Linked DNA regions of Lonchura striata. The protein of the gene in region 2 interacts with the protein of the main gene of each other region in a pairwise test. Links are inferred from orthologs where the notes say so. Each region holds a gene or a part of one and is shown on either strand. Other genes may lie near its edges. The genes, in order: STX11, KAT5, CEP70 and GAPDH.

Region 1 (6,102 bases), on a different chromosome or scaffold from region 2:
CCCAAGTTAATTAATATTATCAAATCCATTATTAGGCAACAGATACCAAACAAAAATATTAATTCTGGTCTAAGATGATTGTTTACAAAACAGATAGTTACTAAAACATTATTAAATCTGAGACTCCAACTCTTAAACAAAAGGCTTCAGCTAAATTTAACACTTTTTTTACCTATGTATGACTTGTATTTTAGTGCTAGCACTCTATTTGCCTTGGAATGCAGTGTGTTCAATTCAGCAAGTCCATCTGAGTAGATTTCCATCAATACTACATCCTCTACAAGCCGTATGGGAAGTCACTGAAATGTGCTGACACACACTTAGCTATGAAGTAATTTTGTCTAAGAGCAGGTTATTTCCTAATTGTTCTCCACTTGTTTTTTGGGTCATGTCTATTGTGTGTCATGTGGTAAAAATCACATTCCATTCAGAGCTAGGATGAGCCACGTGGCTTCCTTTTACCTTCCAAGGGCAAGAAGAACTACTGACAGAAGTTATTTTTAACTGACTTGTTTTGAAATATCTGTTGTTCCTCAAACAATTGAAGTAAAAACTTCATCTTGTAAAGCTCTACTCAAGGCTGAAAAGATTACTGACTAGACTCTTGGTGAGCCACAAGATGTTATTAAGTAACAGCTGCCATTTACGAATGCTGCAAGAAGAAAAAACATACACTGCCTTCCTTCCCAGCAGCTGGCCATGAAATATGGATGCTGTGCTGAGACTGCTTCATCATTTCACCCTTTGTTCCCAGACTCTGATCACAGAATATCCTGAGCTGGAAGGAACACACAAGGATCACTGAGCCCAAATCTAAGTGAATGGCCCATATGGGGATAGAGTGTGGATGTACAAATGTTAAAGCTGAGATAAAAGTTATAGAAATGACTTTTTATCCTTAGGTTATTTCTACATAGTTAACAGGCTTCAGAACATTTGCACAGCAATGTTAGGCAATGTTTGTAGGACTCCCTTTTTTATGTATATGGGGCTAACAGAAAGGGGATGTATGCACATGCATATATTTTGATTTTTAGATGGATTTTCTTTCTTGTCTGAAATCCCATATTATACACAGTTGTCTGGGGAGGCAGTCTTATTGCAACAGGACAATTTGCATATTTCTTATGCATCATGGGAAAGCTTGTCACTGTGGTGATTAATACCAGTAAGTAGTGCAGTAACATGAAAAGATGAGCACTGAACATGCCCTTAGCTGACTGTACTTGCTGGATATCTGCGTTCAAAGTTGTAACCTCTGCAGTCATCACCTGGCCTGTATTTCCTGTGTGTGCGTTTGGGTGTGCACATCATGATGGACTGCAGAAGGAACTTCACATTTACAAGGACATATTTAGCTAGCCCAGAAATACAAATGTTTAAGTACGTGTTCTTGTTTGGATATATGTAGCATTTTAAAATAAGACTGACAACTAATCTATTAAGGTAGTTATACACTTGTGGTTGTTACTCCAGAATAGTTGCTGTTTTGATATTTTAGTGTGTTAGATGTCTCTTACTTGTGCAAGTAGTTGAATATATTTAATGTTCGTAGTCAGCTTAGCAAACTTTTTATTTAAGGCTGATTACCAGAACAATTTAGATGGGACCTTTGGACATTGTCTAATCCAGGCCTGCTCAAAATGCACACAGTTAGGTTTCTGAGGGCCATGTCAAGTAGAGTTTTAAATATCTTCAAGGATGCTGATTCCAAAACTTTTCTGGACACCTTTTTCATTGTTTCTAATTGTTTGGGGTTTTCTTCTTTTTTTCCTTTCCCCCCATCTTGTATCTGGCTGACTTTCTCTTGTTTCCACTTAGGTCTGTTGCATGCTGTGCTATTGCTGTACATTTCCATGGAGGGAAAATGCCTTGCATTAAGCAGTTAGTGATGGCAACAAGATCTCCCTTAAGCTTCCTGTTTCTCAGGCTGAACATTCCCAACTCTCTCAGCTTCTCTTCATATGTCAGGTGCTCCAGCACCTCTGACCACCTCTGTGGCCTCCCTGTGGCTCATCCCAGTGTGTCTGTGTGGAGTGACACTCCAGATGGCATCTCTCAAGTGTCAGACAGGAGGGATTGGGGGATTGGGTTCCTTTCCTTCCTCACTTTTGCTGCTCCAGCCTGGACACATGGCTCATGTTTCCCTACCAGCACACCGAGGTCCTGCAGAGCTGCTTTCCCATCAGAGAACCCAACTTTTACTGCTGCACCAGACACTGTATGAAGGGAGAGACTGATGCTCACTTTACAGACTGAGGTCTGAGGCTATCCCTAACAACCAGACATGTATCATGTGTTAATATACTGCTGTTCAAATTACAAGCAATACAATCAACGTTTGTGTAGATGCAAACTTTGCTGAGTAACAACAGCATCTGACAGGGGAGACCAACTTTTCTAAACCATGATTTGTTAAGTTGAAATGTTTCAAATTGCTTTTCCCCCTTGCACTCCCTGCTTATTTATTTCAGCTCTTTAGTGTCAGTTCTGTCCCTGACACCATCCAGGGAAAGCTTGAAAGTTATTGTCCTCTCTTGGGAAGATCTGGTTCCCATTTGTTTGAAATGAGAATTTGAAATAGGAAAAGACCTCTGTTAAAAGTTATTCACATCCTGTCCTTCCTAGATAAAGAAGAGCATGTTGAAAATGTGAAGATGAAGTAGGAAGCTGGCTAGGTGATGCACTTTGGAAACAAAAAGACAGGACTTGGGGAGAATTAAAGAAAGTGCCAAAAAGTGCCTGATCTTGCAGGACTCTGAAGTCAGGCTTAAATAGGTGGCATCCATTTGTTAGGACAAAAGTGTGAACACTTTAGCTGTGGAGACATATCCCAGACAGAGCTAAAAGATGCTAATGTTGACCACCTTAAACATAAGTTTTGGTACATAGATACAAATAATGTAGAACTAAGTACTGGGGAGCAGGGAAAATCCAGGGCGAAGACTGTAAGTGCAACTGCAACTTGATCCCTCTGTTCCACTTATAACTAGATCTACTGGATCTGCTGGATCACAGAGATTGTGTGTGATGCTGTCCATGTCACTGGAGAGGAGCTCTTCACAAGTGGCCTTGATCCATGGGTTCATTCCCTGATGTCCAGCTTGTTCCTTCGCGATCTTACTCAGCAAAGTGCTCGGGGCTTGCAGCAGTGACTGCAGTCAGAAGGGGCTGACTTCTGAAGATTCCAGGTACAAAGAATTGGGCTTGAAGTGTCTAAAGTGGGCATCATAAATTATCAAGAGTCTGACACTATTGTCCTTAGTGACTCTGGGCTGAAACCTAACTGTGGGGCTGTTAGATCTGCCTTTCCCCAAACAACTGGTGGGAATTTATGGGTATTTTTCTTTGTCCTGTTGCTGGGTACCACTGAAAAGATTCTGGCACCATCCTCCTGGGATCTGCCTTTGACATATTTATGTGTGCTCAGATCCTCTCTGTCTTCTCTGCTCTAGACTAAATAGGCTCATTTCCCACAGTTTATCCTTGTAAGAGAGATGTTCCACACACATAATTGTTGATGCCTGGTACTCTATGGTCAATGATAGCATCTGGAGACACTAAAGTTGCTTTTTCCCCCTTTTATCTATTATTTTTTTCCCCTATCATGATACTTTCCACATCATTTTTTTGAAACTTTTCTTTCCCAACTGTATTGGTAAATGCCATTTCTGTTTCTGAGAGGCTTCTTAGTATTCTTCCAGGAAAAGCAATCTTAGAATAAGGGAAGCCCTGTGACATTTTGGGTAGTCGATGTAATGAGGGATCAGGATCTAGAGGAGATTTCTCTAGTGAGCAGTAGTGGAAGGTGTTCAGTTATTAACATGTCTACAGATGGTGATAGCTGAAGATTTACTATCAGGAGTATAGTTTTCCCATCCAAGTAAAAGACTGGCATTCTGTGGGGAGTTTGGCACTGTCCTACTATTCTTTTTGACTTCAGCATTTGTAGTCTTTTTTCCTTCAGTTTTGTTTCTAAACTTGTATTTTCTAGAACATTGTTCTAGGAGAGTTTTGGATGTGATATCCATCACTATATAAAATACTGTGAACAAATTTAAAATCTGGTATTTTGGGTTACCTTTGATAACTGTTTGTTATCTGTGATTTAGTTATCACTATGATGTAGCTATTAGTTACAGATTTTCAACTCTTTTAACCAATATTTTAGTTACTTCAAACTCATTCCTCCTGTTCCTGTTTTACAGGCAGGATGAAAGATCGTTTGAGTGAGCTGCGTGAATTTGCCAGGTTGCATAACCAACAGTTTTCTGATAGTGATGATGATGAAAATTCACCCCAGGATATTCTCCTTTATGAGACGGACTATGCCTTGGAAATCCTTCATAAGGACATACAGACCATCCGGACAGAAAATGACCACCTAAAAGCGGATGTCAACCGTCTCAGAAAGCAAAACACCCGCTTCCTTACCTCCATGCGCCGTCTTAGTAGCATCAAACGAGATACTAATTGTATTGCCAGAGACATTAAGAGCCGTGGAGAAAGCATTCACAGGAAACTGCAGATAATGAGAGATTTCTGTGAAGATGCAATAACAAAATACGGAGCTATGTCTGTCATTGCTAGGGTGGCAAAGAACCACTACGTTGACCTCATGCACACATTTCAGGACGCTATGTTTGATTACAATGCAACAGAGATGAACCAGCGGGAGAACTGCAAGATTCGAATTCAGCGGCAGCTGGAGATCATGGGCAAAGATGTTTCTGGCCACCAGATTGAGGAGATGATTGAGCAAGGCAAATGGGATGTCTTCTCCGAGAATCTCTTGTCAGATGTTAAGGGAGCTCGCGCAGCCTTGAATGAGATAGAGACGCGGCACAAGGAGCTGGTGAAGTTAGAAGGTCGCATTAAAGAAGTTCATGAGCTCTTTCTGCAGGTGGCCCTCCTAGTGGAGGAACAGGCAGACACCTTTGATGTTATTGAGATAAATATGCAAAATGTTGAGGACTATGTAGGAGATGCTAAAGACCAAGTGAAAAGAGCTTTGGAATACAGGAGAAAACATCCCCTCAGAACAATACTCTGCTGCTGCATATCATGTTGCAGAAGGTGATGGTCCTACTGGAGCTATCACAGACTGACTCGAATGTCTTCAAAATCAGGTGTTCTTTCCAGAGACTGTTCTGTAATGACAAGCCCTAGAAATAGGGGCGATATTTTGCAGTTGGTTTTGTTCATTGTCTTTTTACTAAATGTGCTGAAGGCTGTTTCTATTTATGAACTTCTAGAAATGTTGATAAAACTATTTTTAATCTAATTTTAATTGAAAGGTTCTTTTACTGTAACTAGAGGTGCAATATCTTTACAATGATATTCATTTCATATAGGCAAGAAAGAAGAATGAATAACTTATCGTAGAGAAGATGAATACTTTCAAAAAGTAACTTTATTCCTATTTGTCGAAGTGAGGCTGCAGGTGCTGAAGCCTTGTTGCCTGGGGCAACACAGCACACCAAAAAAACAGTAGGTTTTAGTTTGGAGGCTGCTTGATACAAATTTGACAAAATACTGAGCAGGAGCAGGAACTTGATTTTCAGCTGTCAGTAATCTTAACAGAAGCAACAGCACCTGAAATGGATAATATGCACATTTTGCTCTATTTGTGTGCAAATGACTGCTTTTTTTTTCCATTTTGAGTACCCAACTCTCTCAAGGTGGCTAAAAGCACTGCAACACTGAGGCATCTCACTCACTTTTAACTTGAGCCACTCTCTGGACTCCCAGTTTCAAACCTGCTATGCTTTCATGTTCTGATGCATTTTTATGCCAATAAACACTTCAGCCAGAGGAGGAACATGGAGTGGCCTTCTGCAGAAACACATATAAGAGGACAACAGTTATGGGGTTGAGAAAGCATTTTAGGATCTCCTGTACTGGCACGTACATAGAGGCAGTTTTAGTGCAATGACTCGCCTATCAGTACACTTTTATTTTTTATAAGCATTGACCAAATATAGATTTTTTTTATATCTATTTTAAATAAGATGAAGGATTAATTTTTTTTTATATGCAATTTTACTTGTGTACAAAGATTTTTACTTTCACCAATTGTTGGGAAATCTCCACCTGGGAAAG
Region 2 (8,192 bases):
GCTCCATGCGCACGGTGACGGGCGCGCGCAGCGCGGGGTCCCGGAACGGCGGCGTGCGGAACACGATGGCGACCTGGCGGTGAACGTCGGCCTGCGCGAAGGAGCCCTTGGCCTCCCAGCCCTCGGCCGAGAAACGCACCTCGATGTCCTCTGCGGGCACGGGGACACAGTGGGGACACGCGGGGGACACGGACACGGGGACATGGGCATGGACATGGGGACAGAGACACGGGGACGCTGCAGGGACAGGGACACGGGGACAGGGATGGGGACATGGACACAGGAACATGGGCATGGACATGGACATGGGGATGGGGACATGCTGGGGACACCCCGGGGACACCACAGGGACACGGGGACACGGACATGGGGACAGGGACATGGGGGCAGAGACACAGGGATGGGGACAGGGACACGGACACGGGGACAGGGACAGGGACACGGGGACAGGGACAGGTGACAGCGACAGGAACAAAGCCGGGGGACACAGACACCGATATCGCCCTGTTTGGGACATCCCAGCTTTGGGGTGTCCCAGGTTTTGGGGTGTCCCAGGTTTTGGGGTGTCCGAGGTTTGGGGTGTCCCAGCTTTGGGGTGTCCCGGGTTTGGGGTGTCCCGTTTTTCGGCTGTCCCATTTTTGGGGTGCCCCATTTTTGGGGTGCCCCGTTTCGGGCTGTCCCCGTTTTCAGGGTGCCCCGTTTTCAGGGTGCCCCGTTTTTGGGGTGCCCCGTTTCGGGCTGTCCCCATCCCGGGGTGCCCCCTGACCTTTCTGGACCTTGTCACACAGCAGGAAGATCTCGTCCCCGCCCCGGCAGCTCCCGGAGTTGCGGTTCACGCGGCAGATCCGGAGCTCGGCCGTGCTGGGGGCACCTGGGGACAGCGCGGGGCCGCCGTGGGTCCCGGGCCACCCTCGGGTGTCCCCAGGTGTCCCTTGGGTGTCCCAGGGACGTCCCAGGGATGTCCCACATGGGTCTCAGGGATGTCCCCCAGGTGTCCCCAGTGTCCCCAGCTGTCCCCTGGTGTCCCTCAGCTGTCCCCAATGTCCCCCAGGTGTCCCCAATGTCCCCCCGGTGTCCCAGGTGTCACTCAGGTGTCCCCAGGTGTCCCAGGTGTCCCCAGCTGTCCCCGTGTCCCCGTGTCCCACTCACGGTTGTCGTAGATGGGCTGGGACAGGACGGGGGGGAGGGGCTGCAGCCCCCCCGGGCCCCTCACCCACACCTGGAAGCAGAGCCGGACCGCGGCCAGGTCGTACTCGCCCCCGCGCTGCTCCGCCGGCACTGCCCGGTGCAGACCAGTGAGAACCGGTATAAACCAGTACAGACCAGTATAAACCAGTACAGACCAGTACAGACCAGTGTAAACCAGTATAGACCAGTATATACCAGTACAAACCACTAACATACCCAGGTACCCCCAGTGACACCCCCAGGTCATACTCGCCCCTGCGCTGCTCCCCTGGCACTGCCCAGTACAGACCAGTACAGACCAGTGACGCCCCCAGCACTGTCCTCAGTGACCTCCCAGTAATACCCAATCACTCCCAGTTCCCTCCCAGTAACTCCCAGTCCCTCCCAGTTCCCTCCCAGTCCCTCCCAGTTCCCTCCCAGTTGCTCCCAGTTCCCTCCCAGTCCCTCCCAGTCACTCCCAGTTCCCTCCCAATCGCTCCCAGTTCCCTCCCAGTCCTTCCCAGTTCCCCCCCAGTTCCCTCCCAGTCCCTCCCAGTCCCTCCCAGTCACTCCCAGTTCCCTCCCAATCGCTCCCAGTTCCCTCCCAGTCCTTCCCAGTTCCCTCCCAGTTCCCCCCAGTTCCCTCCCAGTCCCTCCCAGTCCCTCCCAGTTCCCTCCCAGTTCCCCCCAGTTCCCTCCCAGTCCCTCCCAGTTCCCCCCCAGTTCCCTCCCAGTCCCTCCCAGTCCCTCCCAGTTCCCCCCCAGTTCCCTCCCAGTTCCCTCCCAGTTCCCCCCAGTTCCCTCCCAGTCCCTCCCAGTCTCTCCCAGTGCTCCCAGTACCGTTGAAGGGGTTGTTGTTGGTGCGGATCCGCTCGGCCACGGCCGCCTCCAGCTCCCGCTTCTTCACGCACTGGATCCCCAAATTCTGGAAACTGCCCCCAAAACTGGGCTGGCTCAGGGCTCCACCTGGATTTTGGGATCCCCCCGAACATTCCGGGGCAGGGATCCCGAATTTTGGGGGTTCCCAGGACTCTTGGCAGGGTCCCGTATTTTGGGCGTCGCCCCCCGTTTTTGGGTGGTCCCACCCGCCCCGGAGGGAGATCCCCAGTATTTTGGGAGATACCACCTGCTCTTCTGGGGGGGTTCCCAAATCTTGGGTGCTCCCACCGCCCCATGGGGGTGTCTCCCGGTTTTGGGGGTGTCCCTGATTTTGGGGGACATCCCAGTTTTGGGGTGTGCCCCCAGCCTGAGGGATGTCCACAGTTTTTGGGGGATGTCCCCGGTTTTTGGGGGGCTGACCCGGGTTTTGGGGCTGTCCCAGTTTTTGGGGGGGGGGATATCCCGTTTTTTTGGGGGATATCCCAGTTTTTGGGGGATGTCCTGGATTTTGGAGCTGTCCCCGGATTTTGGGGTTCTCCCCGGTTTTTGGGGATGTCCCAGTTTTTGGGGGAGGATATCCCGGATTTCAGAATTGTGCCGGATTTTGGGGTTGTCCCAGATTTCGGGGCTGTCCCAAATTTCAGGGTTGTCCCTGGTTTTAGGGATATCCCAGTTTTTGGCGGGGGATGTCCCAGTTTTTGGGTGATATCCCGATTTCGGGGTCCCGTCCTGGTCTGGGTTCCTGTCCCGGATTTCGGGGCTGTCCCGATTTTGGGGTCCCATCCCGATTTCGGGGCTGTCCCGGTTTTTGGGGGGGACATCCGGGTTGGGGTCCCACCTGTGCACGCTGCGCTCGGGGCTCAGCTCGGCCTCGTAGAAGCCGTCCCGGCAGTCCTTGCCCACCAGCTCGTGGGGGTGCGGGCGGTGCGGGGGGTCCTTGGTCACCAGCGACACCCGCACGCGCCCCGGGCCCCGGTAGTTGTTCACCTGCGGGACCGGTTTGGACTGGTCAGCACTGGTTTGGACTGGTCAGCACTGGTCTGAGCTGGGGGGCTCACGGGGATGCTGCAGTGGGGCTGGGGGAGAGGGTGCTGAGCCCCCCCGGCCAGGGATGGGAGAGCCGGGGAGATCAGGGGGGGTCCCAGGCTGTTACTGGTCCATATTGGGATGTACTGGGACACTCACGCGGATGGTGGGGCGCACTGGGGGGGCTCAGGGGGGCACTGGGTGGTTACTGGTCATTACTGGTTTGTACTGGGACACTCACACGGATGGTGGGGTGCCTCCGGGTGCTCTCGCTGCTGTGCTCCCTGGGGCTGGGGGCACTGGGGGGGCTCTGGGGGGCTCTGGGGGGGCACTGAGGGGTCCCAGGCTGTTACTGGTCCATACTGGTTTGTACTGGGACACTCACGCGGATGGTGGGGTGCGTCCGGGTGCTCTCGCTGCTGTGCTCCCCGGGGCTGGGGGCACTGGGGGGGCTCTGGGGGGCTCTGGGGGGGCACTGAGGGGTCCCAGGCTGTTACTGGTCCATACTGGTTTGTACTGGGACACTCACGCGGATGGTGGGGTGCGTCCGGGTGCTCTCGCTGCTGTGCTCCCTGGGGCTGGGGGCACTGGGGGGGCACTGGGGGGGCACTGAGGGGTCCCAGGCTGTTACTGGTCCATACTGGTTTGTACTGGGACACTCACGCGGATGGTGGGGTGCGTCCGGGTGCTCTCGCTGCTGTGCTCCCCGGGGATGCTCCCGGCCGAGCGCCCCTCGCACTTGTAGCGGAACCTCATCCCGCGCTGCCGCGGCTGCTCCAGGATCTCCACGAACGGCGCCGCCCCCCCCGCCTCTGGGGGGGCACGGGGGTCCCGGGGGGTCCCGTCAGCCCCTCCGCACCCCCCCCCCACCCCCGGGACCCCCGGGGGACCCCCCCCCGCCCACCCGGCCCCACTCACCTGGAGCGCCCCAGTCCTGCAGCAGGAAGGGCAGGAGGTCTGGGGGGGTCACTGGGGGGCAAAGGGGAGGGGGTCGATTTAATGGGGGGGGTCGCATTAATGGGGGGGGTCGCATTAATGGGGGGGTCACATTAATGGGGGGATTCACATTAATGGGGGGTCGCATTAATGGGGGGGTCGCATTAGTGGGGGGGTCGCATTAATGGGGGGGTCACATTAATGGGGGGTCACATTAATGAAGGGGGTCGCATTAATGGGGGGGTGGCATTAATGGGGGGGTCGCATTAATGGGGGGGTCGCATTAATGGGGGGGGTCGCATTAATGGGGGGGTGGCATTAATGGGGGGGTGGCATTAATGGGGGGGGTCGCATTAATGGGGGGGTCACCTAAAGGAGGGGTCACATAAGGGGGTGTCACATTAAGGGGGGTTCGCATTAACGGGAGGGGTCACTTTAACGGGGGCGGGGGTCTTCCCCCAAAACCCCCTCCCCCTTTAAACCCGCCCCCCCCCCCTTAAAGGGCCCGCACCCTCCGCTCACCCCGCGACGTCACTCGGGGCGGAACGGTCCCAAAACCGCCGCGGGGGGGGTCAGCACTCACCGTCCTCCATGGCGGGGGTCGGGGGGTCCCGGGGGTCCCGGGGGGGTCCCGGGGGGGTCCCGGGGGCAGCGGGAAGGGCGGGGGGGGGGCCCCGCTCGCGCCGCCGCTGGCGGAAGCGCCGCGCCCCACGTGACGCGGCTGCCGGGAAAGCCCCGCCCCCTCCCGCGAGCGCTCCCGCCAACCGGGGGGCGGGGCGCAGGCGCGGAGGGGGCGGGGCCGCGTCCCGGAAGCGCGTCGGGCCGGCCGGAAGCGAAGGCCGGGAGGAGAATGGCGGAGGTGGGGAGCGGGCGGGGGGGGGCAGCGCGGAGGGGGCTCGGGGAGCCGCCCGAGGGGCTCCGGGAGCCTCCGGACGGGTTCGGGGACCCCCCGAACCCCCCGCGGGGGTTTTGGGGCCCCGCCGGCCCTGACGAGGCCCCGCCCCCGCAGGGGGAGGTGTCCGAGGGCTGCCGCCTGCCCGTGCTGCGCCGGAACCAGGACAACGAGGATGAGTGGCGTGAGCGGGGCGGGGCTCAGCGCGGGGGCAGCCAATCAGGGCGCGGGGGCGGGGCTAAGGGAAAGGGCGGGAAGCGGCGGGGGCGGGGCCTCCTGAGGGGGCGGGGCCTGGCCCGGGGGGGTCGGGGGTCCTGGGGGGTTTGGGGTTCATGAGGGGGTCCTGGGGGGTTTGGGGTTCATGAGGGGGTCCCGGGGGAATTTGGGATCCCTGAGGGGGTCACTGGGTGGGTTGGGGTCCCTGAGGGGATCCCTGGGTGGGTTTGGGGGTCCCTGGGTGGGTTTGGGGGTCCCTGGGTGGGTTTAGGGTCCCTGAGGGGGTCCCTGGGGGGTTTGGGGGTCCCAGGAGGGTTTGGCAGTCCTAAGTGGGTTTGGGGGTCCCTGGGTGGGTCTGGGGGTCCCTGAAGGGATCCCTGGGTGGGTTTGGAGTGCCTGGGTGGATGTTGGGGGTCCCAGGGGGGTTTGGGGGTCCCAGGGGGGTTTGGGGGTCCCAGGAGGGGCTGTGTGGTGACCCCCACCCCCCCGGTTTCAGCGCTGGCCGAGATCCTGAGCGTGAAGGACATCAGCGGCAGGAAACTCTTCTACGTGCACTACATCGACTGTGAGCGCGACACGGACACGGGACACGGGGACAGGGACACGGGGGGACACGGGGACGGGGACACAGACACGGGACAGGGACACAGACACGGGGACACGGGGGGACACGGGGACAGGGACACAGGGACATGGGGGACACTGGGATGGACACTGGGGTGGCACTGGGATGGACACTGGGATGGGCACTGGGGTGGTCACTGGGGTGGCATTGGGGTGGACACTGGGATGGACACTGGGGTGGCATTCTGGTGGACACTGGGGTGGCATTGGGGTGGACGCTGGGCTGGCAATGGGCTGGCACTGGCCTGGCACTGCCACCCCCCGTGCCAGCCCGCCATGTCCCCGCTGTCCCCAGTTAACAAGCGCCTGGACGAGTGGGTGACCCACGACCGGCTGGACCTCAAGAGGGTCCAGGTGCCCCGCAAGGAGGCCAAGACGCCCACCAAGAACGGCCTGCCCGGCTCCCGGCCCGGCTCCCCCGACAGGGACCCGGTGAGCCCCGGGACACGGGGACACGGGGGGACCTGGGGGGACACCTGGAGGGGACACAGAGACCTGGTGATGGATACGGGGACATGGGGGGACACTGGGGACACTTGGTGACACGGGGAGGGGATGGGGGGAAACGGGGGATGAGGAACAGCGGGAGGTCGGGTGACATTGAGGGGACACCGGACGGACAGAGGGGTCTGGGGACAGGGGACACGGAAGGGACAGGGCTGAGGAGGGGGTGGGACAGGGACAGAGTTTGGGGACACGGGCGAGGGACACCAAGGGACAGGGCAAGGACAGGGGCCAGCCTCGGGGACCGAGCACTGAGGGGACACACGGGGGGGACACGGGACAGGGGACACGTGGAGCCGCTGGGGACAGACCTGGAGTCCCCAAACCCCCTGGTGACGGGGACACTCGCCCCCCACAGCAGGGACGTCCCCTGGGGGGTGGTGACATCCCCAGGACACACCCAGGGGCCACCCCGGACCCTTGGGGACATCCCCAGCCCCTTTAGGGGACCCTGGGGACATTTCTGACCCCTTTAAGGGACCTTGGGGACACCCTCGACCCCTTGGGGACACCTGCAGCTCCTGTAGGGGACCTTGGGGACATCCCCAGGCACTCTCTGGGGACCTTGGGGACATCTCTGACCCCTTGGGGCCACCCCTGACCCCTCTAAGGGGACCCTGGGGCCACCCCTGACCCCTTGGGGACACCCCTGACCCCTTGGGGACACCCTTGACCCCTCTAAGGGGACCCTGGGGACACCCCTGACCCCTTGGGGACACCCCTGACCCCTTGGGGACACCCTTGACCCCTCTAAGGGGACCCTGGGGACACCCCTGACCCCTTGGGGACACCCCTGACCCCTCTAAGGGGACCTTGGGGCCACCCCCGACCCCTGGATGCCACCCTGTCCCCCTTCAGGAGCCCTTGGGGCCACCAAGGGCCGTCCCCGGGAGGGGTCCCGGGGTGGCGGGAGGGTCCCCGAGCCGCGGTGGCTCCGTCCCCTGCGCGTGCCCCTAAACCCTCCTCTTCCTCCCGGCGCAGAGGAAGAGCCTGGAGCTGGCGCTGCCGGTGGCCCCCGCCAGCGGGAAGAGTTTGCCGGGGCCACCGGGGCCAGCGGCGGGGCCACCGGGGCCAGCGGGGCCAGCGGGGCCAGCGGGGCCAGCGGGGCCGGGGCCCATCACGCTCCGCTTGCACCTGCCCAAGGAGAGCGAGGCCGAGCCCCCCCAGCGCCCCACGGTAACCCCCGATGGCCCCGGCGGCCCCAGGGTCCCCAAATGTCCCCAAACGGCCCCAGGGTCCCCAAATGTCACCAGGGTCACCAAATGTCACCAGGGTCACCAAATGTCACCAGGGTCCCCAAATGTCCCCAAACGGCCCCAGGGTCCCCAAATGTCACCAGGGTCCCCAAATGTCACCCAGGTCCCCGAACGTCCCCAGGATCCCCAATGGCCCCAAATTTCACCAAATGTCCTCAATGGCCCCAAATGTCCCCAAATATCCCAAATGTCCCCAAATGTCCCCAGGGTCCCCAGCTGGCACCAAAAGTGGCCCCGGAGGTGGTCCCTGGCAGGTCCCGGTTTTGTCACCCTGTCCCTGTCCCCGGGGTGTCCCCTGAGCCTCCCCTTCCTCGGGCCTACTGGGATGGACTGGGGGGGACTGGGATGGACTGGGATGTTCTGGGGGGGGACTGGGATGAACTGGGGGGGACTGGGATGGACTGGGGGGGACAGGGATGAACTGGGAGGGACTGGGATGGACTGGGGGGGTCTGGGGGGACTGGGAGGGTCCGGTTTGAACTGGTTTGAACTGGTCCCAGAAGCGCAAGGTCGAGGTGGTGTCACCGGCCACGCCCGTCCCCGCCCCCACCGAGACCTCGCAGGCGTCCGTGTTCCCCCAGGTGAGCCCAGCAACACCAGTATGGACCAGTATGGCCCAGTATAGACCAGTAACACCAGTATGGACCAGTATGGACCAGTAACACCAGTATGGACTAGTATGGCCCAGTATC
Region 3 (8,039 bases), on a different chromosome or scaffold from region 2:
ATCTATCAACTGAGCACAGCTAATGCAGTAATTCTGCCTGTGAACCATGGCAAAAGGGGAAGGGGAAGGAAAAAAAAAGAAAGAAAGACAGACTTATAGTTCAAGCATCTGAATACCCCAAGCCTCCCAATTATCCTGGTCTCCTGATTGAGAAGCTGCTTAGCCTGACTGCCAGTTATTCTCTGGAAAAATCTAAATTTCCATGACCATCATAACCCTTTGTTGTTTCATACATGCTAGTGATACTTGGAGCACAGAGTATTTACCACTATAACATTTAAGAACAGTAAGGGCTAAAAAATTTTTGAACAGTAGAACCACAAGGCATTTAATGAGACCTACCTCAGCTTCTTTTTAATCTGACTAATTTGAGATTCATAATAATCAATTAGACATAGGTACCTGAAGAAAGGAAAAATGTTAATTTTGAATTTCAGATATTCTCACAAAACTCATAGTGACCAACCCAGATGAACAGCTCAGCTTATACAATGCACTGCACTTTGAAAGTGGCTGCTCCAAACAGTGCAGTTTCTCTCATACCAGAAAAACACGGTCACACTTTGCCAAAATGGAAAAGTAGACACATTGAATCTGTACTAGTTCAGAAGCAGCAAAATATTCAAGAGGAGAAAAAAGTTAAATCTGCCCACCAGTGTCCTCATCTTATGCCTGTGGTTACCCAGCAAGATTAACAGAGAGGCACAGTCAAAATAAAGTGTTTTGAGCACTCAGAGATTGTCTGGTTTGGAGAGACACATGAGAGACGACAGGGAACCAAATCTAGGGATCCTTCCTCTGATACAGTGAGAGCTCAAGGAAAAAGCTGAGCACATACAATCCCTCTTAAAAGTTTCCCAGATAAACATTGTTGGCCAGGCCTAGAAAGCCAGGTGATATCAGCACAATAAAGCAATGGCTAGGTTTAGGAATTGGCCAATGTCTGACTGTAGCAGAGCTATGGAAATCCTACTAGCAAGAGACGAAGCCTTGTGACACTTTGGGAACTCACCCAAAAGTACTTGGAAGCTCACAGGAAGCCTCCAGTCAGCAGTTGCAATCACTTCCCAAAACTGGAAAGGCTCTTTTTTTGGGGGGGGGGCGGGGCTAAGGATGCTGTTTGTTGAGGGGGTTTGTTCATTTTTAACTTCCTTAATTTACTTACTTAAATGTCAGCATCCCAGGATGAGATCATCCTAGCTGCCAGCCACTGCAGCTACAGAGCAGAGTGAATCATTCCCTTCCCTTTGCTGACATCTAGTGTGGGCAGTGGGTGGCAATTGTTAAATTTCTGCCATGGATTTATCTGGCTTACAGTTTCACAAAAGAAAAATATCACTGCACTGAGGTACCTTCGCAAGACTATATATTTCATCTTGTACTCCTAAAGTCTCCAGATTACTTCTTTTTGCCATATAAATATTGAGAAGCATTACATTAAAATCTGTTTCTTCATTTACTGTTGCAGAGATTCAGCAGTAGAAGAGAATCACTTACCGCTGATCCAGGAGAGACTTGGGAGCTCTTCTGCAAAACTGACAAAACATTTTGTTTTGAATGTCAACTCGCTGCTGCTCCTCCCTCCCAACTCTCCTCAGCTCCTTCTGCAAGCGGGCAATAATCTCTTCCTGTTCTTGCAGCTTTTCCTGCTGCTGTTGGTATTTTACCTGTGAACAGGCAACAGGAGTGTTACTGAATTGTAATGACCCACACACTGACTATACCATACAAGCCCAGGTACACACCTGGAACCAAGGAACGTGAGCATTTGGGTTTTAGCCATGCTGAAGAGACAGTCTAAGAGAGATACAGATACTTTTCAAAATTATTTCTAGAAAATTCTGCATAGTTTGAGAATACTTAGCTATCAACAGCGTACTAACCCTATGACCCAAGAGTCATGTTTATTTAGATCAATGTAAGTATTCTGAGATCTTCTGTAAGTCAAAAGTTTGAATCCTCAGGCAGCACTATCTGAATTACCCGTGAAGCCTGTTGTTCTTTTTGAAGTTCCTTGACTTGGTTCTGTTGCTGGCATGCCTTAGCTATTGTTTCATCTTCCAGCTGACAAATTTTGGCCTTAATGTTTTTCACCACATTTTCCAAATCATTAGCCCGTTGCTCTTGCCGAGATGCCCGACCTTGTTCCAGTCGTACCACATCTCTGAAAAAAGAAATGAATCCTTGCTTTTAAATTAAACTCATTTCACTATAGACAGTGCATAAAGCACACACCTGACATTATGTGATGACCTCTGATAACATCCTGTGGCAGCAGGTGTGGGAAATACACTGATATGAGAAGAAGCAGCAGATGAAACAAGGGGAGAGCTTGAAAGGAACTGGGACAATATTGCTGCATATTGAACAATAACCTCAGGAAAAAGGTCTTAGGCCTCTGGTGAGATAAGATCTCCACCAGGCTGGAGTTGCACACTGATAATACTTTTACTCTGCAGGTAAATTCCTTCCACTGTCTTACCTAAGACATCGATTTGCTTCCATAAGTCCCTGCATCACCTTTTGCTGTCGCTCAGTGTCTTCCACCAGCGTTTGTAACGCAAGTCTTATTTCTTGAGAAGACTGATGGTCTAGGACAATCATATCTGGAGACAGAGAACATAAGCAAAGTCACCATGAAAGGGTTTGAACAGCCAAAGAGGATTTGCCTGATTGCAGCCACTAGGAAGTGACAGCTTTGAAGATGCCTTATCAACTTAGGGTTACTATTTCCAAATAAAAAAATTACATTTCCTTACCTGATGTACCTCTGCAGCTTTGGGGGGCAGCAAGGCTCACAGGTTTCAACCCATGACGCATTAATACCCTGTTTAAGTTTTCCCACTCTGTTTTCTCCTGCTGCATTGGGAGAAAGGGAAAAAAGGCAGATACCTGAGTTCTTTGCATCGGCCGTGCAGCACAAGGTACCAAATGCCCACAAATTAAAGCAAACAACCCCAAACCCCCAGGGGGCCGCTACAGGAGGGTTTGTGAGAAACTCCACTACGATCTGCAAAGCACACTGGGGAAACGCGTACTTAACACCACACAGTATAACCCGTTTTCCTGACCCCTACTTGAAAGCAGAACACGGCGCAATGAGTTAAATCCGCCTCTTTAGGAAACGCGAACCACCACCCGCGGCTCCCTCCACCGCACCCGGGGCGCAGCGGCCCCGCCGCGCGCGGAGCCCTCAGGGAGGCGGCGGCGGCTCCGGGGGCTCGCGGACCGCTCCGTCGCGTCCTGTCCCGCTCCAACCCCCCAGCAGCGACGCCCGGGGCCAGCGGGGTACCTCGGCCATGGCCGCGGGGCAGAGCTGGGCCGCGGGGCCGCGGGGCAGAGCGGGGCAGAGCGGGGCGCTGCTCAGGCCGCGGCGCCGCTCGGGCGGGAGCGGAGCGGCGGCAGCGGCGCGCGGGGGCGGCGCCGCGCGGCCGCCGCCATTTTGCGGCGCGGGAGGCGAGGGGAGGAGAGCGGGCGGAGGTAGGAGCGCGGCGGCCGGGCGTGGGGCTAAGGAGAGCAAAAAATAAAGACTGGGGAAAAATGGGAAAAACTTGTTGCTGGCGGTAATGGCTGGGAGCACGTCTGGCGTCCGGTTTGCGCTTCCCGGTACGGCGATGAGCGCTGCCGGGATTAGGTGGATGGGCTGGGAGCTGTAATCCCAGGCTCGTTTTCAGAACCGTGTAAAGGAGGAAGCACTGCCTTGGGCTGCTGAGCTGGTCAGGGAATGGAGGCGGTGGGTGCAGCTGCTGTGTGTCCCTCCTGGAGCAGCGCACGGCTTTCCCTTGGGACGCGGTGGGATCGCCTCCAGCAACCACCCCTGGCCTGGGGTCAGCCTTCGGGCTCGGTGTGAAATAAATGTGTATTGCTTCATTACCATGATTTCAGGGAAAAAAAAAAGTGTGTTCTGGGATGCTTCCCAACCCTTTCAGCATTGATCCTACAATCCACGCCGCAGCGCCGGGGCCTGCCCGGGGCGATGGAGGCTCTGGTGTGTGAGACTCTCCGGGCATCTCCTGCGAGCCCCGGGCCGCCCCTTGTGCTGATCCCTGCCGGGGAACAGTCCCTGCCTGCTCCTTGAACAGAGGAGGGAAATATTCCCTGCCTGCTCCTTGCAGCAGGGGAGGGAAATATTCCCTGCCTGCTCCTTGCAGCACAGGAGGGAAATGTTCCCTGCCTGCTCCTTGAACAGAGGAGGGAAATGTTCCCTGCCTGCTCCTTGAACAGAGGAGGGAAATATTCCCTGCCTGCTCCTTGCAGCACAGGAGGGAAATGTTCCCTGCCTGCTCCTTGAACAGAGGAAGGAAATATTCCCTGCCTGCTCCTTGCAGCACAGGAGGGAAATGTTCCCTGCCTGCTCCTTGAACAGAGGAGGGAAATGTTCCCTGCCTGCTCCTTGAACAGAGGAAGGAAATATTCCCTGCCTGCTCCTTGCAGCACAGGAGGGAAATATTGCCTGCCTCTCCTTGGAGCACAGGAGGGAAATATTCCCTGCCTGCTCCTTGCAGCACAGGAGGGAAATGTTGCCTGCCTGCTCCTTGAACAGAGGAGGGAAATATTCCCTGCCTGCTCCTTGCAGCACAGGAGGGAAATATTCCCTGCCTGCTCCTTGCAGCAGGGGAGGGAAATATTCCCTGCCTGCTCCTTGCAGCACAGGAGGGAAATGTTGCCTGCCTGTTCCTTGAACAGAGGAAGGAAATATTCCCTGCCTGCTCCTTGCAGCACAGGAGGGAAATATTGCCTGCCTCTCCTTGCAGCACAGGAGGGAAATGTTGCCTGCCTCTCCTTGGAGCACAGGAGGGAAATATTCCCTGCCTGATTCCCACCGTGTGCCCGGTGATGCTGCCTTCGCAGGAACCAGAAATTTCAGGAGTGGCCAAAAACACCCCCTCGGCATTTGTTAGCACTGTTTGTTTGTTGATAGGTACAGACAAGATAATAATGAAATTAATGAGTGAAAAAAATACATTATAAACCGGTGGTTATAAAACACCATCGTGTAAGAAATTAGTTCTTTGTGGCTCACATAGATTTTGTGACTGATTTGCCAGGTCAAATTTAGTAATGTGCTTGTTGAAAGCTGCTACAGTTGTTTAGAAAAGGGAGGAGGTGGAATTACTGCCTGTGCTATTTCTAATCCCAGTTTCATTACGGTCTGGGACTGAGATGCGCAGCTCTGGATTAGGTTCCTGCTTTGGTCAAGTTGTTAATTTCTAAGCTTTGTCTCACAAATCAGGCAGCCCATTTTTCTGTCCGGTAACTGACAAAGTTATGAGCAGCTAGTGAAGGTAGGACACTCTACTAGCACTTACTTGGTTTTGTAAAATATAATATTTTTTTAAATACACTTGCCTTTCTGTCTTAGAGAAAGATGGTTGTATTTTAAGTGTTTTTATTTTATCATATTTATGACAGCACTGCACGCTAGTTAATGATGCTTTTAAAAATTGTCCTTTATCTTAGCTGGAGAAAATGGTGAAACTTTAGACTTCAGCACTTCTCTCCTACTATTCTGCTTTTCTATTTTTTCTTGCTGCTAATTGGATTAAAAGCTCTTTTGGCTTCTATGGCATCCGGTGAGGAGATTACTGTCTGTGACGATGAAGTAAGGTAAAGAATCAGAACTGTGATATGAGCAGATTTTGAAAGATATCCACAGTTCCAGTGGTCACTTATGACTGTATCTAAACTTTAAAAATCACTTGAATAAAAGGATATCTTGCCAGATCCCTTCCCCTGTGTCTGTCTGTGAAGCGTTGAATATCTGAATGATGTAGGTAGTGTTTATGAGATTAGAGTCAAATCTGTTAACACAGGAAATCGTTTTTAGACTATTTTTTCAAGTCTAAAAAGCTGAAACACTTTCTTTGACACAAATCAAATAATATGTTTTAATGCCTACCAAGAAATAACAGAACTATCCAGGAGTATCTTAAAACTAAATGTAATTTTGTTACCTATTGTCAGCTGAAATGGGAGTTTTAGAGGTTAGATGGGTAACTGTGTCTTTGTACTGTTTGTCAGAATGAGTCTGCTTAACTGTTTGTATTTTGTGATGTTTTGTCATATTTGAATGTCTGAAAAACATTAAAATATAAGCTGTTCTCTAAGTGTATTCTTTCAGTTGTCATTTTGTATTTCAAAAAATGCAAATACAAAAGCAGAAGAAGCAGTAAAGCTTTGAACTGCAGACATCAGGACTTCCAACAACAATTAATTTACTTTGTTGGTTTCTCCTTAGGTCTCGGTACAGCCACTTAGAGAAGATGACAGATTTGGTGGCTGTTTGGGAAGTAGCTTTAAGTGATGGTGTTCATAAGATTGAATTTGAACATGGGACCACTTCAGGAAAGCGTGTTGTCTATGTTGATGGAAAGGTGAAATTGCTATGTGCTCAAAATTCACTGTGATACAGATTATATAAGTACACTTCCATGCAACACACATCACAACAAACAAAAGACTAATAAATGCGAGTGAGGTTCATTCAGTTAATTACCTAATTTAATAACATGCATCATTCTTTTTTTTTCAGTTCCAATTAAGGTGTGAGTATTCATGAAGTGCTTTGCTGTCCTTGGACAGGGGCACTCTATGCATACAAAGCACCATGTATGCTTTCATTCCCCAACAGTAGTTCAGTACTGAGCTGTCTCCCGAGTTCCAGTTCAATTTTTTAATATTAAAACATGCACTCAGTTTTTTCAATTAATATCCACTGTCTTTTTTTTCTACAGGAAGAAATAAGAAGAGAATGGATGTTTAAATTAGTGGGTAAAGAAACATTCACTGTTGGAGCTACTAAAACTAAAGCTGCTATTAACATTGATGCAGTCAGTGGCTTTGCATATGAATACACTTTGGAGATCAATGGAAAGAGTCTCAAGCAGTATATAGAGAACAGGTTAAAAACAACCAATACTTGGATATTGAACTTGGGAGGTACAGACTATAGAATTGTTCTAGGTAAGTAAACATTGAGTGACTACATGTTGCTGCCTGTGAATAAACTTCTGTGCATTTAAAAACTGGTAATTAAGAAAGCACAGTTGAGTGGGTAGCTCTGATGCGGTATAAAATCCTGGGGGATGTGGAAATTTGGAATGAGATGCCAAAGATAGTCTGACAAGTAATGACTTGTTATACATGTGTGAGTCTACAGCAGTGTGGTCTAGATTTGGGAGACGTTACTGCTGCTGCATCCATAGAGCTGCCCTAGCAAGGCAGTTCTTCAGGTGAAGACTGTTAAAATTTTACCTTCATTGTGATCAAACCTCATGTGGGTCTAAGTTTGTTCAGCAGGTAACCAGGTTTTCCTTCCAAAAATCATCAGCCATGGTCAAGAAGTCTTCATCTGAAGTGCAACAATGTTATTTCACATTTTTGACATGTGGATAGATTGATGAACAGCCTTTTTTCTGTATCACTTCTTATGTACAAAATTAAACTAAAACCCTCCAGTGATGTTCTTTCACTTTCTTAATGGTAAATTACAACTACCAATACATTGTTTCTCTTCTGCCCCCTCTCTCCCAGTTACATTACAAGCAGGTGGGAGGAAGGGATGATCCCTTGAGGAATTTTTCTGTGGCATCTAGTGGGAAAACTTCCACTTGGGTATTGCTGTATGGTTAGAGCTGGAGACAAGAGATCTCAGACTATGATTTCTTCTTAAACCTCAGGACAGAATGAACTGCCCTAAGATGAAGGGAAGCAATGAAGAAAGACAGTTTTAGTGCCAGAAACAGATAAGTCTTCACAGAATTTTAATATCCCTATGCTTACTGGAAAGGCAAGCAGGGTTCAGCTCTCTGCTGATGTTGTGTCAAAGACAGTGTCAGTAAAGGGAATTCTATAGCAAAGTATTTTAAGGAGGATGTGCTGGGAGAAGAAAAAGAATATTCTGTTTCAAGTCCAAAAACAACTCTTAAGATTGATATTTAAAGTTGTGCTTTTGAAATATTAAGAATACAAGCAGTTTGATGAATCAAATAATTCTGCTTTTTAATTAATTTGACCTGGAAAAAAAGAGAGCTTTATTG
Region 4 (8,113 bases), on a different chromosome or scaffold from region 2:
GATGCATTTCAGTGTGTCACCCCATCCCTGACCCTGATAGACACCTCCAGGTCCTGGCCAGCAGCAGCTCAACTCACATTTGTCTTCCCAGACACTCAGTAAACACCTTTGTGTCCTTTTTCTTTAGAGGAAGGGGTCTTGCTGAGCTCACCCTGAAATATATCACCCTGGACAAAAGGGCTGAAAGGTTAAGGAGCTCCAGGGGGTGGTTCAGCAGGGAGCTGGGGCCAGTCCCTGCCAGAATCAAAGCTATAAAGGCAGAGAGGGGCTAGGAACCACATCCTACATGGATGCTGCGAGTCCTGCCTTGCCTCCCACCAGCCCTGGGCTAAGAAGAAGATGCTGGGGCTTCAGTCATGGCCTTGCTCATTTTTCCTCTTCTTGGTTCTGCTCTCTGCCAGCGTTCAGACTGTGTCCTTACCAGGACAGAGGCTACAGGTAGGAGGGAGTAGGACAGAGCTGAGGTTAATTTCAGGAGGGGAGGAGGAAGGAGGGAGGTTATGTTTGAACCTCAAATGAGAAGTGGTCCCAAATTCCAAATACAAGACAGCTGCTGTCTATTCTTGTTGCACTCTCCCCTTCAGCAGCCTCAGCTCTAGGGTGACTTTATAATCCAGTCCCTAAGGAGCACCAGCATTTCGAGACAGGAAACAGACAAAAGCTTTTTAGTGCTCTGTAAAAGCTTTTAACAGCGAAGGGCCTGGCCCTTTCTAAGCCCAATCTGTGTCAGCAGCCATCAGATATTACAGTCCTGCTTTTCATCATGGTTCTGGTTCTGATATTTCAGAGGGAAGATGCATCCTGTTAGGCCAGGAGTTTTGCTCCTAAGCTCAGTATTATCCCCCTTAAAGACCCTCTTTAAGGCCAAGAGCCCTGTCAGGATGCCAACTAAGGAGTTCTTAGCTTGAGTAAATCTTTATCCTTTGCAATTCCAGCAATAATATTTTTGACTTTCCATTCTAGCCAGCTCCCTCTTACCCAAACCCTAACCTGAGCCCCACCACCTTGCCTTTACATCACCCTGGGAAAGCCACAGGGAAATAGTCAGGACATGAACTAAAATCACAAGACTGATCCTGCTATGACTCACCACTTTCACTCCTTGCTGAGGATGCCTGTGTCCGCTTCAGTTAACTCGCTACCACAAAGAGCTGCACAAAGGCATCCTCAGCCTTAGCTCAGCATCCATGTGAGAGACAGATGTAGAACGGCTCCTGCAGGCTGCTTCTGTGGGCAGCAATGCCGTGCCTCCACTGCACCCAACATACCCCCCACGACTTGTCTCCCAGCAGTGCAGAGGATTTACAGTCAGCACAGCTAACACAGAGGATTTCCAGCAGATGGGGAGTACCTCTTCCTCACACCTGCTCTGTTCCTGACTCTCCCTCATCTTTATCAGGTGTTAGGTGTTTATCAGGAGTCAGGACCATGTTGTACACAGCAGCCTGAGCACACAGAGATGCTCAGCATCCACAAAAGGAGCAAGGACTGAAGAGTTACCTTCCAAATCTGGGGCAGGGCAGGATGTGTGTACGGTTTTACAAGAGCAGGGCAATCTGCCCACAGGCAGAGCTCACAGCAGATGTCTGCCTGCTGTTTTGGATGACAGTCATTTCAGACAGTGGGAGCTGCTGGTCAAACCCTTCCCTGTGTCTGGATGCAATGTCACAGGCACAGTGCTGTAAACAGGCATCACTTCAATGTCCTGCCTGAGTCCTCAGGAGGGTATGGGCAGTGGGGTACCAGGGGGAACAAGGCTTATCACCAGAAGCACAGGCATCACCCCACTCTCCTCCATTTATCCCAGATGCTCCTTTCACGATTGCTACCCCTGGAGCCCAAGTCCACGCTGACCGAAGAGGACACGAAAGAGGGATCCAGCTTTGGTCCTCAGCTGCTCTCCTCCACTCTCCCCTTCCTCCCATCTGGGGCTAGAGCTGCCCGTCCATCCCTCTGGCGCAAGAACCTCTCCAGTCGCAAGTGGGGACTGCCCGGAGATTGGGCCTGGAAGGCCATGCCCAGGGGTTGCTTTGGGCTGAAACTGGACCGAATCGGGACCTTCAGTGGTTTGGGGTGTTAGCTTTGGAGGGCCTCCAAGGTGAGTGGGATAAGAACGTGGGCTCGAGGGAGCGGTAAGGAAGGAACTTGAGGGCAGAGCTGTCAGCGAGGGGATGGGTAGCGGGGCAGGCTGCCGGGCAAGGCGGGGCCCGGGGACGCCCGTGCTGCCGGCGCGGTGCCGGGGCCCGGCCGGGGCGAGCGCAGGCGGGCGGGACGCCGCTGGGCGGCTCACCAGGCCCGCTTCTCCGCAGCCGGAGGGCACCCAGCCTCGGGAACCTGCACGGTCGGCAACCAGCACGGCGCAGCGCTGCGCGAAGCCCTGAAGCTCCCGCCCCGAACATGGGAGGCTGCGGCAGCGAGGGAGCGGCGCGGCGGTACGAGCAGGAGCCGCCCGGCTCCGCGGCTGCCCCCCCGGCCGCTGAACCCCCGCTCGGCCGGCAGCCCCCTCCTTGCTCCCCGTGCCCGAGGACTCGCTCATTAAACACGCTGTACTAATTTGCCGCGTCCGCGGTGGCTGCCCCGGCCGGGAGGCGGTGCAGAGCCCGCCCGGCGCCCCCGGCCCCACGCGCGGGGCCGAGCCGGGCCCGGCCGGCGCCGCCGCCATTCCGCGTGGGGCGTGCGGCACGCGCGGCTGCGGCGCGGTGCGGCCGGGGGGGCGGGCACGGGTGAGGTATCGACCGGGCACGGGGCACAAGGGCCGCGCTGCTCACCCCGGCCGCACTCTGCCCCCGCCAGAACAAACACCGGGGCCTCCTGTTTGCGCCGAAGCTTCCCCCGACAGCCTGCCTCGGTGGGCTGCGGCCGGGGCGCCACCGACCCCGCACGAGCTCGTAGCCCTGCTGCTGTGCCCCGCGAGCCATCACCATGTCCTGGCCTTTAAGAAAAGGTTGTAACCTCAGCTGGGTCTAAACTTAGCCACCAGCCCCTCAGCAGCACCGGGAATAGCAGTGGTTTAAGGAGAGTAGGGTTACGTTTGAGCTGCATGACCCCTCTCTTGTCCCCCACCCCAGTACCTGCGTGGTTCCCCCAGCCTGCCCACCCCCTCCCTTATCCTCAAAGCCCGGCTCACCAGAGTAGCCAGAGGGACACACTAGCTCCCGCCACCCCCACCTGCTCTGATAGCCCAGATTTGCATCCCCACTGTTCCCACACCTTCCTCCGGGATGGGAGATTTGGGATTTGTGCGTGCTCTGGGCGTTGTACCTCAGGCGGGGTTGTCCCGCAGCACCTGCCCCGCGCGCAGCCGGGGGATGGAGGCGGCGGGGCGCGGTGAGGGAGCCCAGCCTGGGGGGCGGGGAACCGGGCAGCGGCCATGCCAGGAGCGCTTCCTCCTCGCAGGCAGGCAGGGAAGGCGGGCCGAGGCGGCAGACGAGCAGGATTTCCGCCGTCACGTCCCGCGGGCAGCGGCAGAGTGCCGCAGTGCCTCATTAAGATGGTGCTCACGCTGCCGCCCGTGGCCTGCTGGGGCAGCGCCCGGCCAGGGGCCCCGTCCAGAGCGCGCCTGGATAAGCCCACCCGGGGAAGGTCGCAGCCTGGAGGCGGGAGAACTCCCAGACTGTACCTCCCGTGCCGGGGGGAGTGGGGGACAGCCTGGAGATCCGCCGCTCCCTCGGGATGACCCGAGCATCCCTGCAGTCCCTTTACCCGTGCAGCCATAGAATCATGGAGTGTTAAGGGGTTGGAAGGGACCTTAAAGATTATCCAGTTCCAACCCCCGTGCCACGTGCACGGACGCCTCCCACTAGAGCAGGTTGCTGAAGGCCTTACCCAGCCTGGCTTGGAACAGTGCCATGGTTGGGGCATCTACAGCCTCCCTGGGCAACGTGTTACAGTACCTCATCACACTCACAGTAAAGAACTTCTTCGTAATATCCATCCTAAATTTCATCCCTTTCAATTTGTACCCATTACTCCTTTTCCCAACACTAAAGCTGCTGACGAAGAGTCCCTCTCCGGCTTCCCTGTAGGTCCCTTCGGATACTGGATACTACTCCATCCAATTGGGCACAGGCTGCAGCCGGGGCGGGTGGCTACCTGCCCTTTGTTACCAGGTGAAAGCAGCGCACACCATCCTGCGGAGCAGCAGCGGGCCCGGCGGGAGCAGCCCCTGACCGGCTATCGCCCTCTCTGCCTCCTCGGGCAGGGGTGCAGCCACCCATCCCCGCTCTGGGGACACCTCCGACCAAGGACCGGTGCATCTTTCACCACCGCCACCTGCACCACCAACCCCCTTGGGGTGGCCCGACGGGAGGGTGATCGCTACGGACCCTACATTCCCAGAGCGGGGCCTTTGTTAACGGGGGGCGGCGGGGCGGGGGAAACAGGGGGAGTCTTCGGCAGCCGCACCCGCGGCACGGGCGCACGTAGCCCAGTCCGGCCCCCGCGCTGCCATTCGACGGCGTCGCGGCGGGGCGGGCCCTCGCCCTACCCTCACGCGGCTATAAAGGGCGGCGGAGAGGCGCTGCGCCACCTCCTCACTGCGCGCCGGGCGGCTCGGAGGCAGCAGGTAACGGGCGGGGCGGCGGAGATGCGCGGGGGGAGAGAGCGGTGGCGGCGGGCGTGTGGGAGCCCCCTCCCCACACGGGCGCCCCGCCCGCCGGCGGGGGGTGCGGCAGCCCCCGGGCGGAGCGGGGCCGCGTGGCGGCGGGGCCCAGGGCACAAAGGCGGCGCGGCGCAAAATGGCGGGGGCGGCGTGAAGGGGGGCGGTGAGGCGAGGAGGGATAGGGGTGTGAGGGGGAGATGGTCGCCGCAGGAGGAGGAGGGGGCGGGTAGTTGTCGCGGGGGGGGCAGGTGGGTTAGTCGCCCGCGGCGGGGGGTGGGGCTAGCTCGGCGCGCGAGCCCCCGCTCGCCTCGCGGCCCCCGATGCCCGCTCGCCCCTCAGCGAGGGCGAGGCGTTAACGGCACCGGCTGAGGGCGCGACTCCGAGGGCGGCTGGTGCCGGCTCTTACGCCCCCGCTGCTGGTTTCTGCCCACAGGAACATCCCGAAGCGGTAAAGATGGTGAAAGTCGGAGTCAATGGGTAAGTGCTGCGGCCGACAGGACCAGCGGGGATTTCGAGGGGGGTTGTGGTGGAGCGGCAAGGTCGCCTCAAGGGCGCGGGGGGAAGATTCGGGGAGAGGCTGGATCCCGCCGGCCCCGCTCGGCCGGCGCCCCCCGGGGCAGCGAGCGGTGCTGCTGACTCATTTCTCCTCGGGTTCGGGGTGACTCACTCCGGAACGGGCTGCCGTTGCTCGGCTGCCCCAGTTTCCCTCCCCGTTCCCGGGGATCCCTGCAGCCCCCCACCGAAAGGTTTCTCAGTGGATCGTGTGTCGATGGCGGCCCCGGGGATGTGACCTTCTCGTGCCGGGCCGAGGAGTAACCGGATCCCCGGGGCTCTCTGTAAATTTAGCGATTGACCTTTCTGGGGCGGGGGTCGTTCTTAATCTTTAACCGGGGTGCCTTGGCCTTTGGACGAGCTGCAGGGCTCCCTCCCGCCCTGCCGGGCAGGGAGCAGCTGATGATCCCAAGGGAAGGCTGCCAAGGACTGCCTCCCATGCCCAGCTGGGCTGGTTCTCTGTTGCACCTCCTCACCCGTGTCTTTCTCTCTCCAGATTTGGCCGCATCGGCCGCCTGGTCACCCGGGCTGCCGTCCTCTCTGGCAAAGTCCAGGTGGTGGCCATCAACGATCCCTTCATTGATCTGAACTACATGGTGAGTTGCTTTGCAGTGCCCCCTCTGGGCCTTTCTGAGTAGGGCTCCTGTGGATCTGTTCTCGTAGCTTCCCCGGGTGTTAGAAGATGATGGCAGCCTGGGTGCCTGACCTTCTGCTCCTCCTATTTATTAGGTTTACATGTTCAAGTATGATTCTACTCATGGCCACTTCCGGGGCACTGTCAAGGCTGAGAATGGGAAACTTGTCATCAATGGGAATGCTATCACCATCTTCCAGGAGTAAGTATCTCTTTCTTGATTGCTCCTCTGGAGATTGAAAGCAACTGTGTCATGGAACAGCTTGTAAAATTTTGTCCCTCCTTAGGCGTGACCCCAGCAACATCAAGTGGGCAGATGCTGGTGCTGAATATGTTGTGGAGTCTACTGGTGTCTTCACCACCATGGAGAAGGCCGGGGTGAGTATGCCACAGAGGTGTAGGAGAGAAGGGAATAGTGCTGCTTTCTGCCTGTCGGGCACACCACCATTTACAGAGCTGCTCAAGATAGGGCTGTGAAGGAGAAGAGATCTGAAGAAGCAAGCTTGGAAGGATCCTGAGTTATGTAATCTCTTATCTTTCTCTCTCCAGGCTCACCTGAAGGGTGGTGCCAAGCGTGTGATCATCTCTGCCCCCTCTGCTGATGCTCCCATGTTCGTGATGGGTGTCAACCATGAGAAGTATGACAAATCTCTGAAAATTGTCAGGTAAGGAGAGTAGCATGCTTCCTGGCCTGGAGCTCTCGCCAGCTGCCAGGGGTCTCACTTCACCTCCGTAGGAGTGTTGCCTCTGGCTGACGTGCCTTTATCTCTCTATCCCAGCAATGCTTCCTGCACTACTAACTGTCTGGCGCCCTTGGCCAAGGTCATCCATGACAACTTCGGCATTGTGGAGGGTCTCATGGTAGGTCTGCAGCTTGGTGCTGAAGAGGGTGACCTACCACAGATCCCCTCACGTGAGAGGGAAAAGCGTCTGTGTCACCTGGGATGCTCTTTCTGGAGAGTATTGGCTGTGTTCTTAATCCTATGCTCTTTCCTCAGACCACTGTCCATGCCATCACAGCCACACAGAAGACAGTGGATGGGCCCTCTGGGAAACTCTGGAGGGATGGCAGAGGTGCTGCTCAGAACATTATCCCAGCATCTACTGGAGCTGCTAAGGCTGTGGGAAAAGTCATTCCTGAGCTCAATGGGTGAGTGTTGTCCCTTCTCAGGTGTCAGGAGGAGGCAGAACATTCCTAGACTGGCAGAGGAGTGCCAGATGCTGTTCCTTAGTGACTTGTGTCTCTCACAGGAAACTTACTGGAATGGCTTTCCGTGTGCCAACCCCTAACGTCTCTGTTGTGGACCTGACCTGCCGTCTGGAAAAACCAGTAAGTGTTGTGGACGGGGTCCTAACAGCTTGCAGATGTGCCCCTCTTCCTCTAAGCTCTGCATTGCACCTGGAATTGCCCTCTCTGCATCCATCTTGTCCTGAAGATAATCTTTGTGAAAAGAGCACCTGCTGGGGTGTTCCCATGTGTGTCTTCTCCCTTCCCTGTCCCCAATGGACATTTTGTGTGAGTTGGAATCTGATCATCTTGGATCTGTGTCTCCTCAGGCCAAGTACGATGACATCAAGAGGGTAGTGAAGGCTGCTGCTGATGGGCCCCTGAAGGGCATCCTGGCATACACAGAGGACCAGGTGAGGAATGCCTACTCTCAGCCTGCAGTTACAGGCTCTTGGCCTCACTTTTGTAAAAGGCAGCTTTGGGCACTTGGAGTAGAGACTGTGGGCAACCATATGCATTACAATTTCTCGTGTTTCAGGTCGTCTCCTGTGACTTCAATGGTGATAGCCATTCCTCCACCTTTGATGCGGGTGCTGGCATTGCACTGAACGACCATTTTGTCAAGCTGGTTTCCTGGTAGGTGCAGCCCTGGGCGTGAGGGGGTTGGCACAGACAGGTTGCAGACTTGGGTGTCCTGTTGGTTACCACTGGTGATCCAGGTGGATGCACAAATCTCTAGTCTGTCCATGGAGTGAGATTGTTTCTTATCTGGAATTACTGTAGCTGCCTCCTCCTCTCCAGAGGGTAGATGGGAATTCAGTTGTGTGGCATGGGGCAGTGGAGCAGGAGGAATGGAAGAAGGGGTGTGAGAAATGAGTCAGCCCTGACAGCACTTACTTTCTGTCCCCAGGTACGATAATGAATATGGATACAGCAACCGTGTTGTGGACTTGATGGTCCACATGGCATCCAAGGAGTAAGCTGAGCACACAGGCCCCCCCCTGCTGCCTCGGGAAGCAGGACTCTTCTTTGTTGGAGCCCCTGCCCTTGTTCACCACCGCTTAGCTCTGCATCCTGCAGTGAGAGGCCAGTTCTGTTC

The links.
Region 1: the proteins of KAT5 (region 2) and STX11 interact in binary tests that used the Homo sapiens proteins (3 or more experiments, as listed by UniProt). The two-hybrid records come from large-scale screens. The link is inferred for Lonchura striata from reciprocal best matches to the Homo sapiens genes KAT5 and STX11.
Region 3: the proteins of KAT5 (region 2) and CEP70 interact in binary tests that used the Homo sapiens proteins (3 or more experiments, as listed by UniProt). The link is inferred for Lonchura striata from reciprocal best matches to the Homo sapiens genes KAT5 and CEP70.
Region 4: the proteins of KAT5 (region 2) and GAPDH interact in binary tests that used the Homo sapiens proteins (3 or more experiments, as listed by UniProt). The link is inferred for Lonchura striata from reciprocal best matches to the Homo sapiens genes KAT5 and GAPDH.

The regions. Positions count from the first base shown.
Region 1 is NC_134605.1:50,042,133-50,048,234, reverse strand, and holds STX11 (syntaxin-11), read left to right. Parts: upstream 1-4,213; coding exon 4,214-5,080; downstream 5,081-6,102. UniProt on the Homo sapiens protein: SNARE that acts to regulate protein transport between late endosomes and the trans-Golgi network.
Region 2 is NC_134638.1:281,919-290,110, forward strand, and holds the start of KAT5 (histone acetyltransferase KAT5), read left to right. Parts: upstream 1-4,816; 5' UTR 4,817-4,858; coding exon 4,859-4,867; intron 4,868-5,017; coding exon 5,018-5,084; intron 5,085-5,612; coding exon 5,613-5,681; intron 5,682-6,035; coding exon 6,036-6,172; intron 6,173-8,000; coding exon 8,001-8,081; intron 8,082-8,192. UniProt on the Homo sapiens protein: Catalytic subunit of the NuA4 histone acetyltransferase complex, a multiprotein complex involved in transcriptional activation of select genes principally by acetylation of nucleosomal histones H2A and H4.
Region 3 is NC_134610.1:9,371,457-9,379,495, forward strand, and holds the start of CEP70 (centrosomal protein of 70 kDa), read right to left. Parts: upstream 3,380-8,039; 5' UTR 3,302-3,379; coding exon 3,293-3,301; intron 2,860-3,292; coding exon 2,760-2,859; intron 2,607-2,759; coding exon 2,483-2,606; intron 2,165-2,482; coding exon 1,984-2,164; intron 1,668-1,983; coding exon 1,498-1,667; coding exon of another isoform or gene 1,494-1,497; exon of another isoform or gene 1,105-1,493; intron 403-1,104; coding exon 343-402; intron 1-342. Other genes in the region: FAIM (fas apoptotic inhibitory molecule 1), read left to right, coding at 5,564-5,607, 6,239-6,374, 6,735-6,963.
Region 4 is NC_134604.1:29,413,610-29,421,722, forward strand, and holds the start of GAPDH (glyceraldehyde-3-phosphate dehydrogenase), read left to right. Parts: upstream 1-4,474; 5' UTR 4,475-4,564; intron 4,565-5,033; 5' UTR 5,034-5,054; coding exon 5,055-5,077; intron 5,078-5,648; coding exon 5,649-5,748; intron 5,749-5,881; coding exon 5,882-5,988; intron 5,989-6,073; coding exon 6,074-6,164; intron 6,165-6,335; coding exon 6,336-6,451; intron 6,452-6,565; coding exon 6,566-6,647; intron 6,648-6,784; coding exon 6,785-6,936; intron 6,937-7,037; coding exon 7,038-7,116; intron 7,117-7,343; coding exon 7,344-7,427; intron 7,428-7,552; coding exon 7,553-7,650; intron 7,651-7,924; coding exon 7,925-7,994; 3' UTR 7,995-8,113. Other genes in the region: C-type natriuretic peptide 2-like, read left to right, coding at 340-438, 1,808-2,080. UniProt on the Homo sapiens protein: Has both glyceraldehyde-3-phosphate dehydrogenase and nitrosylase activities, thereby playing a role in glycolysis and nuclear functions, respectively.